Lepisosteus oculatus: one gene and its partner. Each later gene encodes a partner of the first gene's protein in a complex. Links are inferred from orthologs where the notes say so. Each region holds a gene or a part of one and is shown on either strand. Other genes may lie near its edges.

The links. Proteins that work in one complex are often made in the same cells at the same time.
Region 2: snrnp200 (region 1) and scnm1 share a complex: the UniProt entries of both Homo sapiens proteins name them as parts of the minor spliceosome. The link is inferred for Lepisosteus oculatus from reciprocal best matches to the Homo sapiens genes SNRNP200 and SCNM1.

Annotation. Positions count from the first base shown.
Region 1 is NC_090697.1:70,221,477-70,231,971, forward strand, and holds the start of snrnp200 (U5 small nuclear ribonucleoprotein 200 kDa helicase), read right to left. Parts: upstream 4,319-10,495; 5' UTR 4,086-4,318; coding exon 4,041-4,085; intron 3,394-4,040; coding exon 3,230-3,393; intron 2,614-3,229; coding exon 2,442-2,613; intron 2,082-2,441; coding exon 1,889-2,081; intron 1,565-1,888; coding exon 1,509-1,564; intron 824-1,508; coding exon 725-823; intron 215-724; coding exon 62-214; intron 1-61. UniProt on the Homo sapiens protein: Catalyzes the ATP-dependent unwinding of U4/U6 RNA duplices, an essential step in the assembly of a catalytically active spliceosome. Plays a role in pre-mRNA splicing as a core component of precatalytic, catalytic and postcatalytic spliceosomal complexes.
Region 2 is NC_090722.1:5,084,082-5,093,950, forward strand, and holds scnm1 (sodium channel modifier 1), read right to left. Parts: upstream 4,013-9,869; 5' UTR 3,941-4,012; coding exon 3,890-3,940; intron 3,625-3,889; coding exon 3,554-3,624; intron 3,236-3,553; coding exon 3,147-3,235; intron 2,587-3,146; coding exon 2,489-2,586; intron 1,772-2,488; coding exon 1,671-1,771; intron 1,471-1,670; coding exon 1,319-1,470; intron 1,032-1,318; coding exon 896-1,031; intron 563-895; coding exon 463-562; 3' UTR 221-462; downstream 1-220. Other genes in the region: lysmd1 (lysM and putative peptidoglycan-binding domain-containing protein 1), read left to right, coding at 5,331-5,510, 5,691-6,022, 7,441-7,621. UniProt on the Homo sapiens protein: As a component of the minor spliceosome, involved in the splicing of U12-type introns in pre-mRNAs. Plays a role in the regulation of primary cilia length and Hedgehog signaling.

The DNA of each region.
Region 1 (10,495 bases):
GCTCTTATTTGGGGTACCCAGATTCTGAGGTATGTGTGGTGTGCATGCTCAGCGACCTCACCTTCAAGATCTCCAGCACCTCATCTGCCTTCTTCTGAGACACGATGGCATCGTCGTAGAAACGACTCAGCTGCCTCTGGAGCCAGAAGGCATCAATGTCACGAGGGTGCAGGTCTTTCTTCTTGGCAGTCATGACATCACCTGAAGAGCCCAGCTGAAGAAACAGGAATAAGGCAAGTTCATTTCTGGGGGACAAGGACAGAAAAGTCTGGTCCAATCCACGTTTGATAAAATGCAATATCTTCTGCAGTAATCTCATTCAGCCTTGTCAGCCCTAATATTCTCAATTATTTGCGAACTCTTGTGAACAAAAATACAATTCTAACTGACAAGACTATGAAACTACAAATCTTGAGTTTTGAAAGAAGAACGGTTCTGAGCATTAAGGGAATCCAGATGCTTGAAATATGGCTGAAAAATAAAAGCAGAAACGGCAAGTTTCCAGGTGTTTTCCAAGTTGAAACATTGAAATTTGACTTTTTTTACGCAAAGGAAAAGAGTATGTGATTAATTAAAAAAGGATGCAAAAATATTCTGATCTTGGATATAGTTTTTTTAAAACAAAATAAACTAAACAGGGAACAAGAAATAAGAATGAAAAAGAGACAGGAGATTCACTCAGAGGTAGAGAGGGAATAAGACAGGAGGAACTGGCAACACTTACATTGGCACTGAGAGTACAGCCCACATCGGCCTCCACCCCCTCGCTGTCTTCATCAGACACTTCATCTCGAACCTCCCCATACTGGTCCTCATCTCCCTCCTGCAACACACACAGCTGTCAGCACACTGACATACAGCTACACACATCGTAACTGTAAGCACATATACGACTTCTCCATTCGCTACGCCCCACACAAGAGCCGCAGAAAGGTCACAAACCAGAGTAGACCGGCCATTTGGCCCATCTAGTTCATTGGCTTGCTAGAGGCTAATTGACACCAGGAACGTATCCAAATGATTCTTGTAAAAAGCCAGTGTATAAGCTTTGACAATAAGGTTGAATTGCTTATTCCAGACCCTCAGCGCTGTAGAGGATTTTAAAAATGTCTTCGGCTTCTCTGACTTAAAAATAACAATTTTTAAGCCTTTCAGAGTAGGAAATTCCTTTGTGCCTTATAAAGTATCTTATGCTGGATTGATTCCAGAACAGGAGATCTGATCCAAGAACCAGGAAATATTCATTTTAACCAAATCTACCAATGTAATTTTTCACAAATATTTGAGATAATAGACAATCAAAAGTTCTACTCATTTTCACCCGCCACTCAGAATTCCCACTTAAATCTTGGGACACATGGCACCCTGGATATAAATTCCTCCAGGTCATATGCCATTTCAACTTTGAATTTTTCTGCCCATTTTGTACTCATTTGTATTGGGATTCTTGGGGGAGGGAAGCCTACAGCTCTTTATATTTGGTAAGGTTAGATGTCACATATACTCACCTCTTCATCAGACTCAAACTGTACATTGACACCATACGTTTCATCAATATTGTCATCTACAACACAAAAATGGTAACATGAAAGATTATCAGGAGAGAATGCACATACAATATTGTTCTGCGACACATCTTTCCTATCCAATTCCTATAAATGATAAATCCATTTAATTTTGTATTAATCCTAATCTAGTAAGCTTCAATACTGTAGGACTGGCACACACCTACAAATCATCAATCACTATTAAACAAAACAGGTGTTTTCACCCATTAAGATCAAGAACCAAATATAACAATGCAGGCTTAAATAAAATCCACAAGGCCGCAGCTCTCCAGGTTCTAGGCTAGCTGCCCCTGTGATAAAGTAACAGGTGGACTCTGTACCCATATTCTGGAGCTCCTTGTCTCCTCCGTAGTCGCTGATCTTCTTGCCCAGGTTGACCAGCACATGGTAACGCGTGTCGTCAGTGGGACCCAGCAGCTGCTCAATCTCCTTGCGTCGTTCCTTGTCTCTCATCTTCTCGTTCTTCAGCACAGCCAGCACCTCGTCGGCTGCCCCACACAAGATGTCTCTGGGCTTCAAGGACATTCAAAATGCCTGATCAGTCACAGGGAAGAAGCCTCCCTCATCTTGACATTTTGCTTTGAAAATGCTATTAACCCCCATCTCTTAATGTTCTAGTAAACACTCTTAAAAGCTATGTTACAACCCAATGTAACTTGTTAATATTCTGAGATGGTGCCAATCATGACAAAAATCACGATAAAGCAGTAATATATAAGTCATTAGGCAATAGGATGATAACATTTTGTGATGAAGCACATACACCACAACACACCTTGCAAACATACCACACTGTGTTGCAGAAAAAAACTTCCTAAAGCTTCCAGTAATGTGTCAAAACACCACAAGAGACTACTGAAACACGCCCCTCACCTGGTCTCCCAGGGCAGCCTGGATGAAGCTGAGAAGAACCTCATAGGTCTCCCTGGTCTCCTTGGTTTTGGGCTTGTAGACGATGCCCACCATCTCATCGATGCCCTCTGACAGCAGGGTGAAACCCTTCATCTTGTTGATGTCATGCCGGTCCTCATCTCTCTTCCTCCTCCTGCACGAAGAACAAGTGGGCACAGGGTCGTCAATCTCCCCTGAACCGCTCAGCCAGAGCCTCAGCAAACAGGATCCCACACTCTTCCATTAAAGTGGGCTTAAACACTGCAGGTGCCTCAAAGGTAACTCTGCACACGATCAGTCCCATTCTGTAAAACTACACACAAGGACTATGTAGTTCCAGTCCTTGAGGATTACAAGGCTAGCCAAACCTGTCTAGAGAGCCAGCATCACAAAAAGCATCCACTGATCTATTCCCATTTTACCACATGCACATACACGATTAAAAAAAACACACCAGCATTCAAAAGGTGTATATTTACACGTAGTAATGTACCCAATACTGAATTTTCTACATATCTTTATTGTATTTCCTTTACCAGGACATTTTATTTTCAAGTGTTTTTTCCAGGTCTACACGTTTCCAGGAAAAGCCTGCACCGGGAAATCTGGCTATATTATGCGGATGGCCATGTTCACAAACATTTGGCCACTATGCCATGTTTACACACCACATGCTCATAAAACAAAAAAACTCTTCAGGTGGCAAACACTAGTCCCAGGACAGCAAGGAAAGACTCTGAACTCGATCTATTAAACCCATATGGTCTTACTTGGCTCTTCTCTCCTCCAGCATCTGTGGCTTTGTCCTCTGGGACTTGTCCCCCATCTTGGTACCATCCAGCTTTCCCACAAGGGACAGAACCTCACCTGTGGGCTCATCGCGGCGAGTCCGGTCGATCAGAGACCGATCTGCTTGCAGTACAAGATTAGAGTTCTGTTCGGGAGAAAAAGAAAACATTCAGGCCACAGCTCTGTATGCATCATAATTTTAGACCAATACAAAGTACTCTGAACAGATGCTGCGTAAATATCAGTGATCAGATGAGGCCCTACTGGCTCCTTCACTAACTCTATACCTCCTCTCATTTCTTGCTTCCGACTCACCTATTGGGATCTAAACCAACAGCAATGTCAAAACTTGGAGACCCAAGGAATCTGTAGATATTCATTCTAGGTCAGCTCTTAATCCTAATCATAATTATTGGCTTAATTGGCCATTTAAACCTCCCCGGATCTTTGATTGCTGCAACTTCAAAGAAACCTGCTTAATACCAGAGCTTCTGAGGCTCTGGTACAAAATAAGAGGGGCTTATGTCAAAGCCAAAGTATGCAATGGAATAGCGCAAACTAAGCAACAACTCACCTTTGCTGCATACAAAGGTACACAGACCTCTTGTAAACAGAAAAATCAGCCCTACATTGGGAACTGAACAGTCCCATCTCACCCCACACTCGCGGCGTAGGGTTGCAAACGTTTCACTTTTTCCAGCTTGCAATGCAAAACTTACAGAACGCCACAAGCTCGAATACAACAAAAAGTTATAGTTACATTTGCACTGGCGCGCTGTTTGTGCTACTTACGGCTTTGTACTCGTACTGCAGGCTCCGAGCAGTTACATCCGCCATGGCTGATCCGGCGCTTCACACGCCGACCTCCCCGCTCAAGCCTACCTCGGCAGAAGAAAGATAAGATATCTGTTACGTCTGTAAACGATTTCGTTTTGTATCCAGGGATCTCCCTTACTTTTACGGCTACAGGATAACTGTTTAGAGTATTTAGGAATTAATTCTCAGCCCCCCTCTACTCTGATCACTTCCCTCGCGTTGGCTGTGCGTTTCAAAAACACACACGCCACCGGGCCCACTGCGCAGATCACTTCCGCTTCCGGGGCACGGTAAAAGTAACTTGTCATGTGGGGAGGCGGGAGGTCAGGAGTCCAAATACGAGGTGCTGGACTGTGCTACTGAAAAAAACAAATAGCGAGAATGTTGCAGTATAACATGAGATGCATATGTCTAGTATTGATTATGAATCGAAAACAGTAATTGCACTATTAAATTGAGGTGTGATTATGTTACTTACACGGTTTGGATCAGTACTTCTTTATTTTTGAAGTATAAATAAGATTTTAACAATCTGAAGATGTTTTAATTTGCTTGCAAATTATCCCTTTATCACCGGTTGTGAACGTAACATGATTTAAATGACATTTTTTATGAGAGTTGGAAAAGCCATACTGTGTCATGGGTAATTATTATGCTACTTTGGTCATTATTAATATTAATAATTATTATTAATCATGGTACTTTTTTGACTAATAATGTAACCTTTGTCCCAGGTTTCGAGGACTTTGAGCCAGGAAAGGTGCCCATGAGCTAAAGAAATATGAATATGTAACTTGAAAACTAGCTTTTTTCAGATTCTCGAGTGTTCCTTAATTACTGCAGGGCACCAAGACAGACTCATAGTATTTTAAAAATCCCTGTTGGAGCAATTGTTTGTTGTTACTCATAATTTTAATTTTGCTTGGCTTCTGTAGATTGATTATGTAACACCCTAATACAGTTAAGTCAATAATAAGATTTTAATTATAATATACAATAATCTTTCCTGCTACCGGGGTGATTTATCTGAAGATGTATCATTTGAGCAGACTGAAACAATGCATTTGTAAACAAGAGAGAATTTTTTTTTGTAAAATGCAAAAAAGAAAATGTTTAAATGTTTCTGAGTACAACTATTACAATGTCCTTGTAACTCCAAGATCATGAAGAATTGGTATACTGTTCTGTGTTTGTTGAGATCATTTGATGTAACTCCTTTTTGCACCACACAGTAATTTTCTGATCCCTCCTGTGATCTAAATAGCACCCTCATTGTTTTCATCCTCACCTGAAGCTCTTGCATCTCCATCAAGCGAGCGCCTGATTGCCTCTCTGTGCAATTGTTCCCTTAGTAGGTCTTAGCTAACAGAGATTTGCATACCTCATTCACAGAGTTCAGCCTTCATCCCCCTCATCTCCAATTTAAATTGAAATGCAAACTCATCTTATACAGAGAGAACCTGAACAAATACCGAAAGAGATATGAAGATGAATAGACAACTATTCTGTGAACAAAGAGCTAATAGTCAGGTGTGGTCACATTATTTTATTTTTTAAGAGGTTAATTCACAAGACCTTGATAGCATTCAAGCCTTTGATACGTATTGCAACTATGAAAAGGCCATGACAAACGGACTTTTTCCAATGCATCCATTTTCTAACAGCTTCTTCCAATCCAGGGTCGCAGGGGCGCCGCAGCCTCTCCAACAAGCAACAGGCGCAAGGCAGGGTACATCCTGCACAGGATGCCAGTCCATTGCAGGGCACACAGAGTCACACACTCCCACCAGGGCCAATTTTCCCAGAAGACAACCTACCACTCTTATTTTGGTTTGAGGGAGGAAACTGAAGCACCCAGAGAAAATCAATGCAAACACACAAACTCCACACAGATAGCACGCACCACTGTGCCACAGCTCTCGTCACAAAAGCATATTTTGTTACTTACAAACAACCACTATAAAATAACTATTTACATATGAAAGTCTTAACTTAAAAGTACTGTATACAAGGAGGAAAGAGATGATGGGTATTTCTTCCCTATATCTACACTATTGACATTTAAAGCACAGATATTGCAATCAATTTTAACAAGAGCAGTATGGGCCCACATCTACACCAGCAGGCCAGACTAACTACAATGGAGCTCACATTTGTCATAAGATTAGGGAAAAGAACCGTACAATTTAGGGGAGAAATGGAAAGGCAAAGCTTTTTAATACTTCTCCTGTCTGTTGTTTGTGACCGGAGACGATCGGCCAATAAAATTAAGAAAGCTTGGTTACAACCGTGATGTGCACATAAGCACAATAATTGAAACCATGTGATGAGTAGGACCTCTTACTTCTGCTATGTTTACAAAGGAATAAACTTAGGTCAGGTTCACACCTACAGTAGAAAAAAATAACAGCCCTTCCACATATCAACAAAATATGTTATAATATGCCTTTTACATTATAACAGAGCAAAGTGACAAAACAGTTTGGAGGCTGACACCAACTGTTTAAATCTGGAGTGGGTTCAAAGGAGTATCTAATACTGCAAAGGAACAAGTAAGGGTTAATTCCATGCTGAAAAGAAATGCCCGTACTAGTAATGTCATTTTAAAACACATAGGATTTGCTCTATGATTCTGTGGGATTATCTGTGGCTATTTTGGCTTCAAAGCTCATTTGCATTGCTAAATATTTCTCCAGGAATGATTAACACTATATTGGTAAGGCTTTCCAGTCTTTCTCTGTCTTTGTGGGTTGTTTCTAAGACATTAACTCTGACTTTTAAAATTCATTATAATGCAGCTCATACAGAAGTATTTAACCTGCATTCATATATGCATCTTAAATAATTCTCCATCCTCAAGCTATTGCATTCAGTAATTTTTCTTGTCCTTTGTCCAGTATGTTCTTATTTAGAAGAAAACAATTGTGAGATTAAAGCTATGTGGAGCCCTGAACCATATTGTATGCACTTTAAAAATATCTTATAACACAGTAATAACATTCTGTTCCTACAATGCATACACAGTAGGTTTCTGTGTCACAGGGTACTAAAGCAATGCATATAATAGGACATGTATACATCTTATAGAAATTCAGCATAGAATTTCACTTTTAGTTTGCTCTAAAAGTGCTGGAAAAACCTTACAGGACCAGGGACACTGTTAAGGAAATTTGGCATAGCTTAGTTAATCTTTTTATTCAGCCTAGAAGGAAACATAATACTGTAGAAGAGGAGCTGATTTTTTAAAACAGTTTATTTATTTTTTTCAATGTCGAAGAAGTTATTAAAATACACACAAAGACTGGGATTTGCACACAACTCATATACAAGAAAAGAGAAAAGAATCCAGTTAGGTTTTACAGCTTTTTGAGAACAGTTTTTTGCAGGAAAAATGTAGCTGAGAACTGACAGGTTATTTCGAGTGCATGCTTTTAATTAGCACAGGCAATCACATTTGCTGTGTGTGCTCCTTTTAAACAAATTCTTGACATAAAGTCAAACATAGCTTTGTCCCTCCTTGTCACCTTGTGTTATTCAGTAGTGCCCTTGTCAGTAGGCATATTGTAAGGGTGCTGATGCTCTTTGAAAGTGCCAGAAGGACAACCTTTAATACTGAAGTCATTACTTTTCAAAAGAGCAATGGAGTAAAAAAAACATCTCGTTTCCAACACTGCAACAGAAATACTCTGCTTTGCACTGACCACCTGCCTGTGTGTGAGGAGGAAGCGCTATAGACCCAAACTCTTGTCCAACTCACATCCGTGAGACCCACTGTGTCTTTGTCCTAATGAATCTTCCAGTTGCTGGGTTAACCATTTTCCAACTTTTAAAATGTGACAGATTTCAAGTGGCCTGTCAAATCACACACGTACGTTAAAAGCTCCGATATTTCGCATCATATTTTCTAATTGAAATCTTTTTTAAAATGTCTTAAAAATAACTTTAAATGAATCATTATCTGATTTAATGGCACCAGGATTGCTTTAAGGAAAAGCCAAGGGCAAAACAACAGAAGACCAGTGGCCTGGGTGTACTCTACCAGCCTATTGCAAATGCCAAACCACTTTGGACTTGTGTGTCGCCACACTCCCTACAGGCTCCAATGTAAAATTAACAACTACAGTTCCTTAAATAAGTTCCTTAAATATTCAAAGTGCTTTTCAAACAGGAGGAAACACTTTACCTCCACCACCGAAATACAGAAGCCAGCCACTTGCTTGACCTTCGGCAGCCACTATCCAACAGCTGTCTAACTACACAGCAGGTCGGGTGAAGATGTAAGAAATTTAAATTAGGTTTTTTTGGTGTTTTAGAATATGTTATCCCAGAGTGGAATTTATCCAGGACCTGCCTGGGATCTTCTAATGGTCAAGGAGGTAGGGATGTAGGAAGTATCATCTCATACATCTTATCAAATATCACTGATGTAGGTCATAACCGTAGAATGAACAAGACAGAATTATATATGTATGTTAATTTCTCAGTTTCATTAAGAATACATGAAAAAAATACACATTTATTCTAGGTTTAACTTAAAATGCCTAGGCATGATGAAACAAAGTAGTTGTAGTTGTGTGCCTAGGCATAATTTGTATTTTTATTGCCTGACTGGCAACCCAGAGAAAGGACATCTCACACCTCCAGAGGTTGTGTGCACCCCAAGTTATGAGCCACCGGTCTATACCATTCAAATAGCTTTTACACTGTAACATATCACTTAGTTGCAATACTATTTCGATATTCTTCACCATGCAAACATCTGACATAGTCTTGGCTTGCGAGAAATGGGGTCTTCGAAACAAACTACAGCGACCACATAGGTCTGCCTTTCCCACTTGTATTGCAACTGGAGCTTTGAAAGCGCTTATTTGTTTTTGGTACTGGTAATTTCTTATTGTCTGCGGAAATACTTGTGTTCTGTCTGGGCTCTGCACACTAACTGAATATTCATTAGAGATGAGGCTCTGTTTGACTTAGCTTTACAGCAGAACAAGAGCTCAGTCCGTTTTAAAAGTGCGCAACTCTTTCTAACTGGTGACTGGAGTGCAACTGACACCTTTTACTTATCTAGTTTTACAGATACGGGGTCACACGACTTTGTATTAAAAAAAAAAGCCGTTATGAAAATAACCTGTACATGTCGCAAATTGGACATTTCTGTACAAACCCTTAGCTAATGTTCGAAAAGGGGTCCACTTAAACCTAGACCTAGATTTAGATTTAGAGGGGACGATAAATAATTTCCTATAGATGGAAAATAATGCCCTTTCTTCTAGCACCTATTTTCTTGTGTCTGACAGGTCTTTGGGTTGATTTATCACAAGGGCGTTTAATCAGATCAAGTTTGATTTCGTTCTCGTAGTAGGTGAGTTATTTTAAGGCAAGCGGATGACGCCTCACGTTTTCTCACTCGTCTTCGTTGACACTCTTCTCTGAGTCTACAGTACCTGCAAAAACCGTGTTTGGGCCTGAACCTTCAGTCCTAAGAGAACTGACTCATTGCATACGCACACCTACAAGACAGACACGGGGGTCGTGTGTGTGTTTTAGAAAGGATGTATAAAAAAGCATATTAATTAGCTAATTAACCCCCCCACACCCACCCATCCTTGATCGGAAGCAACTCCTTGCCAAATTATTCCCCAAAGATGTCGCCCACTCGCACGGGCTCAGAGCACTGCCCACGTCATGCCAAAATATAACGGCCCATCTGATGACAGAGCGGGCCTTGGACCGGCGGCACAAAAGGTCCCATTGAGCCCGCGAAGAATGGATCGACTGTGCGGCCCCGGGAGCACGGGACTGTGCTGTCAGGTATAGGAGGCCGGGAGGACGATAAAACCCACTGTCTGTCCATGCAAATTAGACGGAGAAGTGCCGATATATAGCCACCGCCGCGCAAGAACAGACCTTATTGTTCAGAGCAGCACCTGCAAAAAACCCAAAACACAGCCCGCTGTCCGAGATGAGACTCCACATCGCTCTAGTCCTGGTCCTAGCTGTTGCCGGACTTAAAACGGGTAGGGACACTTCTATTTTTCTCTCACGAGTAAATTAAAAAAGACAAATACTTCATAGAACTGCTATGTCGGAATACCACATTCATTTTTTAGATGACCGAAGGAAATCAAACACTTTCTAAGAAGTTATGTACCGACCACTTTCTTTTAAGTTCACAGTACCATTTGTTTTAACGGAGCTCGTTTATTTGAGCCTTCCTCAGCTCTGGTAAATAGATTATTTTTGCAGCGGTATTATCATTAGGACGTCAGTTAATATTAGATTATGATTTTCCGTATAATTGTCTGTAAATTCTTGAATTGGGCATGCTGGGGCATTGCAACACTAATGTGATGCTTTGTTCGTAACTGAACAGGAGACCAGAAAGGAAGCGTGTACAGACAGACGCCTAACGAATTTATGGTACCATG
Region 2 (9,869 bases), on another chromosome or scaffold:
CTGTGATGGAGACAAGCAGCTCCTCTCAGTCCTGCTGCTGCTGCTGCTCTGGCATGTTGATGCAGAAGCAGAGGTCAGTTTTCAAGAGCCCAACGTTTGAACAGCGGGTTATTTATATTCACGAGATGCATTTGTGAACCTTCAGGTGGCTACACATCACACCATTTGAATTTCTCTTACAACAGCATCAGCAGTTATGCATCAGTGGGGGGAAAACAGCTTCTCTTTCTGATTTTAATAGGCATAAGTTACAAAATGACAAAAAAGATTGACAACATCTTAAGTTCTCCCCAGAGAGCGTGTGAGAGATCTGACCATTAAAAGGTCTTCAATCACTTCTTTATAATTACATTTTGTCCTCCACCTACAGCAGTTCATGCTTTTGCCGTTCAAAAATGGCGTCGCTGTACAAATGTTCTCTGAAACAGTTCAAATGCTCTTCCTGTTCTGGGACAGGTGGGGTCAGGAGGGGGAGAGGGTGGGGGGCTGGTCCTCGTCGGAGTCGAATTCCACGTTCTCATCCTTCACCCAGTTTCCACTTCGGTCCTGCAGCCACCCGGAGCTGCAAGGAAGGACAGACAGAGGAAGGAGAGGCAGGCTGACACCTGGTGGGGAAACGGAGAACTGCAGCTTTCGGGGTCATTCACAGCAATGGCGTTAGATGCGTTAAGTAAGTTACGAAGACGGCAGGCATTCGGGGGTCGCTGTACCAGTGGGAGGATCTTCTTCTCCAGCCCCATTGCCTTGCCATCCGCTTTGACGTTTCCCCCCTCGCTCTTCTTTTGCAGGATGAGTAAGTCAGTGTCCGGGAAATGATACCGGCCAAGGGCCCGGAAAATAGGGCGGATGCCTTTTCTAGGCCACCTCCTGTAGGTTCGCACAAGTGGAAGGTTACCTTTTCAGCCTGAGGTAGTGCTCCATCTCTTGGCGCCTCTGTGCCGCCCCGGGATCTGGCTCGGAAGCCGCCGCAGGCCGGGACTTCTTTCTCGTGCTCTCCTTCGCTCGCTCGGGGACGCCCTCTCTCGGGATCTCTGGGGAAGGTAAGAGAGCAGGGAGTTACAGCAGGGCCCTGTAATAGTGTGTAATAGCGTGAAGCAGGGCCGAACACAATAAGATTTCAAATTAGGCTTTGTATTTGCCTTATGATGTAAACTTATCTTTCAGGTCTTAGAAGGCCATGAGAGTAGCCATAAACTATATCCGGTGCCTTACAGAGATGTGCTATCATAGGAACGCAGACAGGAAACGCATATGCTACATTTAAAACTGCCATTCTTTCAGGTGAATATGTTTACGAGCTATGCACATGATTGAGCACCTAGTGCACTGTTGCTATGGTGTCCAGGAAGTGAGGTCACTGGTGTGGTGTCAGCCGTTGATGTCCCCCCTGACTGAGCTTGCAACATTTGGTTCCTGGGAACAGGGGTCCTGCTGGGTGAGGGACAGCTGGAGTTTGATTCAGACCTGCTGCTGTAAGAAAAACACACATTTCTCTCTGAGCTGTTTGGCAAGAGCTCAAATGAAAGCCAAGGAGAAGCCTAGTATTTTTGCAATGCATTTTAATGTATACTTCATACTTCAAATGAAAACCCTTCCACAGCAGGGCAGACAGGGCTCCAAGCTTTCTGACCATTTTATTGTTGAAGGTTTTTACAGACAATCCCAGTTACCTTCTCTTCTGGTGGCAGCTGTTGTAGGGGGTGGACTTCAGCAAGGCATGATGGGTAATCTTGCGTGTCTGGGCCAGCAGAGGAGCTGGACCAGCTGTCTCCTTTAGGGCAACGACAAGGCAAGAGGAGAAGAGAAACGTAAACTCATCGTCCTCCAGAGTCAACGTACCTGTTCAGGCATGGAGGTTCGTACGCCTGACAGCTGCACGACCTTGCTCAGGCGAAGGGGCTTGGACTGGTCCTGGAGTCAAGTCCCCAGCTAAGGGAAGAGGACCGACATTTCAGTCGCGGAAGTCTCGTAGTTGTGAACAATCAGCCTGGGGCACTTGCAGTATAAAACACTTCTAGGGTTCTGTGACTCTCTATAGCAGCCAGCCAGGGCCTTCCCTTACTGCGCCCCAGAGCTCTGGAGCTCCTTCCCCAAGCATCCCAGAGTCCTCTTCCCCGAGCACTTCCAAATCCAGACTCAAAATCTTCTTCCCCGGAAAGCTGATTGTTTTCTATTTAATCGGCATCTGTGTCTGCTCCTTGCACCTTCTCCTGCTAATCCCTTGTGCTTCTTCTTGTTACTTCTGTAATCTCCTGTCTTTTACTGCTCTCTTTTGTTTGAACTCTTCTTTTCCTGTAAGGAGTTCTGAGCAGCCTACTTTTAAACGCGCTCTATAAAACAGTGTTTATCATGATGATAATAAGTAGCAGAAAATGACATATGAATAGGATTCTGGTTGTTCTTCTATCCTACAGCTTCAGTTAAAGGGGGACTAAGGATATGTGAGACTTCCAGGTGGTCGTCTGATTACACAGCAGCTTGAGCTCACCTGCCTGCCCGCTTCCTCCTGGCGCACGTAGGCCAGGTGGCGCCGCTTCTCGATCTCGTTCTGCAGCTCCCGCTTCTTCCTGTAGGACCACTGGAGCCCTGCGGAGACACGGGGCAGGAGACGCGTCCCTCAGAGCGCCTGGGCCACAGGACCCCCCTGCGCTGGGGGGGAGGAGCCCCCCGCAATTTAAGCTCTTCAATAAGGCTTCTTGACTTGAAATGGGGGTGGAGGGGGTCATGGCTCACCAGGGTTTTCCCAGGCGACCTCATCAGCACTCACTCGCTGGAATAATAATAATAATAATAATAATAATAATAATAATAGTCCTGGCGCTTCTATAGCGCTTTTCTGGACACTCCACTCAAAGCACTTTACAGGTAATGGGGATCCCCTCCACCACCAGCAGTGTGCAGCCCCACCTGGATGCTGCGCCAGTCCGCCCCCCACACACCAGCTCTCAGTGGGGAGGAGAGCTGAGTGATGAAGCCAGTTCAGAGAGGGAGGTCATGAGGGTTAAAGGCCAGGGGGGAAATTTGGCCAGGACACCAGGATTAACATCCCTAGTCTTCTAGAGAAACGATCTCTCCCGGGTCAGCTCCCAGACTGGAGTGCAGTCCTGCATGCGGCCGGTACCCGGTCTGGAACAGGCGAGACCTACCCTCCAGGTGTCTCTTCCCTTTCCTGTGGACGGCCAGCATGTCCACGGTGTCGAACACGGGCCGGGACGAGCACACTAAACAGGCGTACCTGCGGAGGAGAGCACAGGGGCGGAGAGGGAGGGCGCCTAGAGGCTAGATTCCCGATCCCATACTGCCTTGAAGGGAGAGATAAAGGAGTCTTCATCTGCAGTGTATCATCTTCCAAACAATAAATGCATTCATTCTTTGGGGGGCGGGGGTCTGAGGTAATTGCAAGCATCAATTTGATGCCACAGCCCAGAAGTTTCAGATGGCTTTATAGCCAGTGTGGAAAACACATCCTACATCGACTTGGACACATTTTAGGCTGAGCCGTGGGGGGGGGGGGTAATTTGCTTAGGGCGGCGCTATGCAAAGGTGGGATTACCTTCCGTTCTTCATCAGGACGGCCTCGTCCTCGGGAATGAAGTTGGACAGGAGATCAGCGACGCGTCGTTTCTGCCAGTGAGAAGAGAGGCTCAATGGGAATGAACCAGCCTGCCTAATTGAAAGGGCCTTTCAGATGAATCCCTGAATTACACATCTCTTCATCAAGACGCAAAAGCAGGGAAAGACACTCTGGGCACAAAGTTAAGATCCCCTTTAGAGCTACTTTTCGGAGAGAAATAGCTAGCTTCGTTCAGCTGCACCTTTACTATGTTTGCATCGGCCTTTTCGAAAGCACAAGTAGAAAACACTGGAAATATTAAATAACAAAACATACCTTGAGGACATTCAGTTGACTAGCGTCATCCCCTTCCCTTTTAAAAGACATTATTACAAGAACACCAGAAAAGTACTCAGCCTTGCTTTTCGTTCATCGGACAAACATCACTTCCGCCAGCTGAATGATGGGACTTGTAGTTTTTCAAGTGTTAATGGCTATCGAGTGGGTGCTGGGAGTCCTACTTATTTGTGAAACCTCTGACTGGGACAGCATAAATACAACTGCAAGTCTTGTTATTGTAAAAGTAATAATTAATTAATGCAAATTATGGGGCGAGGGATGTACCCTACTTATAGAATCGTCCCGCTTGTTTCTCTATGCACACTCCAGTTCCCATGGGACTGTGGGGCCTCGCCTTTCCCAACATTCCTAGCTTACACGCCCAATAGAACTATGGAAATTGTAGTTTTTTAAGTCATGTCTATCTCGTTGTTCCAACGACTCTCCGAATTAGGCAGAACTACAACTCCTAGGGTACTTTCATTTCGAGTACGATTGTATGTAGTAAAAAGCTTGGCGTTGAGGACGTTATGTTATAATTTAAGGTTTCCGTCACTATGATGAAACGGGTTTTTTAAACAAAATGCGCTACAAAAAACACGGGAAAGACAGTGACAAGAAAATGCACACGCGAGAATGTTCAACGAACAGAAACAGAAAACGTGTTCGAGTAACTCATTTTTAGACTTGCTTTGGTACTGATATTTTATTTTTGACAGTTCCAGGGACCTCGTTCGCGATTGTTACGGGTTCTATTTCAGGCGTTTTAATTTAGAGGAATTTATAGCTAGACGCATAAATAACAGGTACGTTGTATTTATTTTAGCCACAGTACAAGTAGCTTTTACTCCAGCGTCGATACACTGTACTGTACATCCGCTCGAGGGATGGATCTGCGGGATAAAAACAGATCAGAAACGCTTAGGAAACAACCCTGCACAATCGAAGAACCTTGTGTTTAGCTAACTGGGTGACGGTTGCTAGCGCTTAGCTAGTCTGCATAAAACAGACCCGTCCAGTGAAACCGGTACCCCAAGTTTCTCTGTTCGGTCCCGCGGACGTCTCTTTAATCAAATTAAAGCCTGGTGCTTTTCGTCCTGCAAACCGCGAGCCACTGGGGGTCTTAAACCGTACTTCGCATGCGAAGGCTTTCCTGTAGTTCCGATCTCACACACTTCTCTCAAAAAATCTCCCGCTGTTGAGTCTGTGTGTGATGCCGAGCCTCCCAAACATTTTAGAAATTCGTAACCGGACGTTTTGTGCTCTCAAGAGAAGTATCTTCACACGCTGTTGATGGGCGCAGGGAGGTCCACTGACCTATACAGCATTTGAGCTTGAAAGGGTCCGGGGACTCTTTCGATGGAGCCTCATCCGGAGACCACCGAACTGGACTAAGACGAAAAACAGAGGGGGCACAAGGGCGACATCTTCATCGGCGATGTCTTCGGGACGGCTCCCTGCTTCTGCCGGGGGCGAGGCGCTCCTCTCCGGGAGCCGGACCCGTTCCTACGGCAGCCTGGTGCATTCAACCCGGTCGCCGGTGCGAGAGAGGCGGGTGGAGCACCAGGTGCAGCCCGGAGAGACGCTTCAGGGACTGGCGCTGAAGTACGGGGTGACGGTGAGTGCCACCTGGGGGTTGGTTTCTGAGATTCGCCTGAGCAGGAGAGTTCATGAGGTCATGTAACTTGGGCTCTGCGAAACTTTTGTGGCTCTTTTCGCGAAATATTTTCCCTCACTCGCATGAATAAATTCCTGATTCAAAGATTGTTTTGTGGTGTGTGTGTTTTTTTTTTTGCAGATGGAGCAAATCAAGAGAGCCAATAGGCTGTACACCAACGACTCCATATTCCTGAAGAAGTCTCTCTCGATCCCGGTGCTGACGGACCTGGAGCCTCCGGGGGGCGGGGCGGGGCCGGCGGGCGAGGGGACGAGCCAATCGCCGGCCGGGGAGCGCGGAGAGGACCTGAAGGAGAACGGCGCGTCCGCCAATCAGACGAAAGGCGAGCCGGAGGTGCCCGGCACTGGGGTGAACTCGGACCTGTCGGCCAGGGACTTCCTGGAGAGGATGGACTGCATGATCAGCCAGTCCAAACAGGCAGCTGTGAGGAAGATGCGGGAGGGAGAGAAGGGGTGAGTGCCGGCCGACTGGACAGCTGGGTGTCCCATGACGCTTCATTTAATTACAGTGGACGAATGATGCAGGCACAGTTCTTTCAAAGTGAATATCCATTCATCCATTTTTTTTTTAACCGCTCGATTTTTCCTTGCAAGAGGCTGGGTTGGGGGGGAGGGGGGGAGCTGGTGACTGTCCCGGCATTCAGTGGGTGCAAGGCGGGGTACCCCCTGGATGGGACGCCAGTCCGTCACAGGGCAGGCAGACTCACACCAGGGCCGATTTTCCCACAAGGGAATTAATCCACCAGGAAACCCATCTGAACACAGAGAGAACATACAAACTCCACATAGACAGCACCCGAAGTCAGGAATTGAACCCAGGGCCCCAGTTCTGCAATTTAGCAATTGAACATTTTTAATCAAGACCTGGATGCTTAAAACAAATTTTACGGGTGACAAGCACAGAATTGTTAACTTGGTGAAAGTACTGTAAGTCGCCATGTTGTCGCAGACTCCTGGTCTCACCACAGAGTCTGTGCAACATGTTGGCAGCCCTTCCTGCTCACTAGTCCCTGTAATGACTAGTACGCTGTGATGTACGAGCGAATAAGTACAGACTGTGCTGCAGACATTTCACTGCTGAAATGTTCCAACGAGATCTGCATGCAGAGTTAACAAGTAGTATTTGTAGCATAACCTTCTCGAAGGCGAGAGCCATATTTCTATTGGATTAAAGGAGATTGTTTTCACAAGCCTGCTTGTTTACAGTGTAATAGGGCCTTTTCACCTTACTGGAAGTTTTGTTGCCTCATTCTCAATCGCAGGACATGGCACTGCGCATACCTGGATCATTTTGTCTATTTTGTGGTGTAAATTGGAGGTTTAATACATTACTGTGTATATTTTGCTTTCATTGTGGTTTGAAATGCCCTCATCAATGCTGATTCTTCCGAACCCCGAAATATAAAAATGGCGCTGCAGCTCCCCTTTAAATAACCTTGCTTTAGCATGTACAGTAAGTGACGTTTAGGTAAATGCATTGCACCTTCTGAAACCTGAATTGGGCCTGAGTCCTGTGGGGCAGGAGTTTCTGTTTCCATTCCAGGGGTGGTGTGGTCATTTGTAGTGCTGCAGTAGACGTTAGAGTGAGCTGTGTTAATGCTCGACTGCCCGACAGACCCAGCAGAGGAAATACCCTGCGCCCCTGCTGGGGAGCCTTCCTCAGGGGTTCGCAGGCAACAGGCCGGAGTGCAGGTTGTGGGGTGCGACGAGAATTTATTTCCCTCTTTCAGGTTGTCAGAAGGATGTTATTGTTGGAAGCGGAGGGAGTCAGGAAGCAGAAGGAGACGACGAGGTGAAATGAGACCCCAAATAGACGCTGTCCCGGGGGCAGTCCTGCAGAGGATTTAATTCCCTCCCCTTTGCTTTCACAGCCTGGTGGGACTTGAGCCGGCCGGCCCCCGGAGAGCCTCGGCCAACCGCAGGGCCGAGCTCCGGAGCTCCGCCTCTTCTCCCAGGGTGCACCAGGGGGCCACGCTGGGCCCCGTCCCGCTCACCATCACCAAGCGCGCCAACGGGCTGAGGGACAGGGAGGACGAGATCTTCCAGCTCTGACGCCACCCCCGCCCCCCCCCCCCTCGCTCTTCTGTCGCCCCCCTCAGCACGGAGGTCCTGGGATACCGGTGCCGAGCGGATTTCTGACTTGTTTTTTGAGGGAAGGAGGGAAGGCTCACACTTGCATGAGCCCGGGTAGCTCGGCGGGCTAAACCGCTGTCTTGGATGCCCGAGATATGGGAAATAGAGAGCACAGGACTGAACCCCCCTCCAGCTTGGCAAAGACACACGACGAAGTGTGAAAGGAAGACGTTCGGAATAGATCAGCAGCAAACAAACACAACAGCAAACCAGCATGCCGCCTGACCCAGTCAGTCGTGCTGGAATCCTCCTTGTAAAAGTACATCAGAAAGACTCCTTGTAGGTTTTCTGTGTTGAAATAACTTTTCGACTTATTTCGTGACTTCTGTACTTCAGGTCAGATATGTTCTGTAGTTCAGGTGGGTAGCTGCATGCGTAGTCTGCAAAGGAACAAGTAATAGGTTTACTCCACGCTGAAAAGAGAAAAGAGAAAACGCAACGTTTCGGCTGTGGAGCCTTCTTCAGGTTGTCTCCCCGAAGACGCCTGAAGACCCTTCTTCAGGCCAACTGAAGAAGGCTTCACAGCCGAAACGTTGTGTTTTCTCTCTTCTCTTTTCAGCAGGGAATAAACCTCTTACTTGTTCCTTTGCAGATCTGTTCTGTGCTCTGCTGAGGCGATGCACTGATTTGTCAGCATGAATAACAGTTCGATGGCTATTGGCCGTCCTGCAGCCCTGCGGCCTCGCTCCCTGTCTGTGTCCTCGTGGGTCAGTACAGACCTGTGGCCAGAGCTGAAGCCTGTACAAGCCATTGAGCCAGATTCTTCAGCTCTGTGCTGCTTAAAGTAGCGTGTGGGTTGGTTTCGTTCCTGAGATGCAGGGTGTAAGATCACTTGCACTTCCTAGGATGGTGCAGGAGAACCGAACCGATCTCATTCATCTGTGCCCTGTCTGGGCTGGTTTGTGCTGTTGAAAGTAGCGACAGAGGTGCATTAATTCCGTGGATATCACACCTTCCTTCTTCCAGGAGGCGTGTGACTGTTGTTGCCATTGTAGGGGGGTGGTGAGTGACATCATACCCCCCAAAAAATAAGGTGCTGTGTTTCGAGAACGAAAGCACCTCAGATGCTACTTCCACTGGCAAAAACTGGCGCAGGCTGAGCGCTGCTGAATGCAGCGGGTTTCGTTGTTTGTGCTGTTTGTTTGGGGAGCTGTGTCATGTAACCGAGCTGTCGGGACGTCCCAAACCTGGATCCACTGGTCTGGGTCAGGTCCGGTCCAGTCTGAGGGACCCTCCTCCTGAGCCTGAGACGGTGCGCTTGAGCCCAGGAGGCTTGTGAGGGCTCGCACATGCACGGGTTTTAGGTACGTGTTTTTGGATATTGAGAGGCAGGAAAAAGCCAGACTTTCAGGAAGTTAAAAAGACTGCATTTACCCTACGGGATGTTTAAACCCCAATGCAAAAATAAAGAAGAAAGCGATCGAATCTTTGCCCGGTAGTGGGGTCTTTTGATTTTCCTGTACAAGAAGCACTTCTGGAATCTTTTGAGATGGGAGCACTCTGCAAACGCCGGCAACTGGAAAGAATTGCTGTTCTTGGGTAAGTGTTGTTGTGTGGTATCGGTGACTGGATTCTCCTCAGATTGTGAATCCTAATTGATGTGAAATGAAGCGTCGCATGATAAGTGATCCCTAATCCCATTATCCAGCTCGGGTTTTGTACCTGGTGCTGCTTGCTATGCAGATCATGCCTGAGAGGCATACAGCATTAACAATTATAGCTATCTGTTTCTTCTCAAGGTCTGATCTTATAAAATCATTAGTTTCTTATGGCTGTTTTCCTTTAATTAATCTAATAGAAGCTTGCAGAACATCACATTATTCTTATTTCTCAAATCTCATTTGCCCTAATGAATTAAGTTAGTTCGTGCAGAGAAACTACTGCACATCCTGAATATAATATGTAATATTCCTTCACACCTTTTAGTGCCAAGTACCTTAATTTAAAATAATCACAGTGTAACAGTGTACTAATATCTGTCGATAAGAGCTTTACAAGACCGGCAATTAAAAAATTAAGTGGACAATGACTGAAAATCCCGAGTCATAATTATGCCTTCCTGCTGTGTTACATTGATCATAGTAGTAGCTGCTGATCACAGAGTGAAGAGTTGTGTGTCCCTCCAGTGGCACATTGTGGGACTGCACCCTAAACATCAGTCTTCATT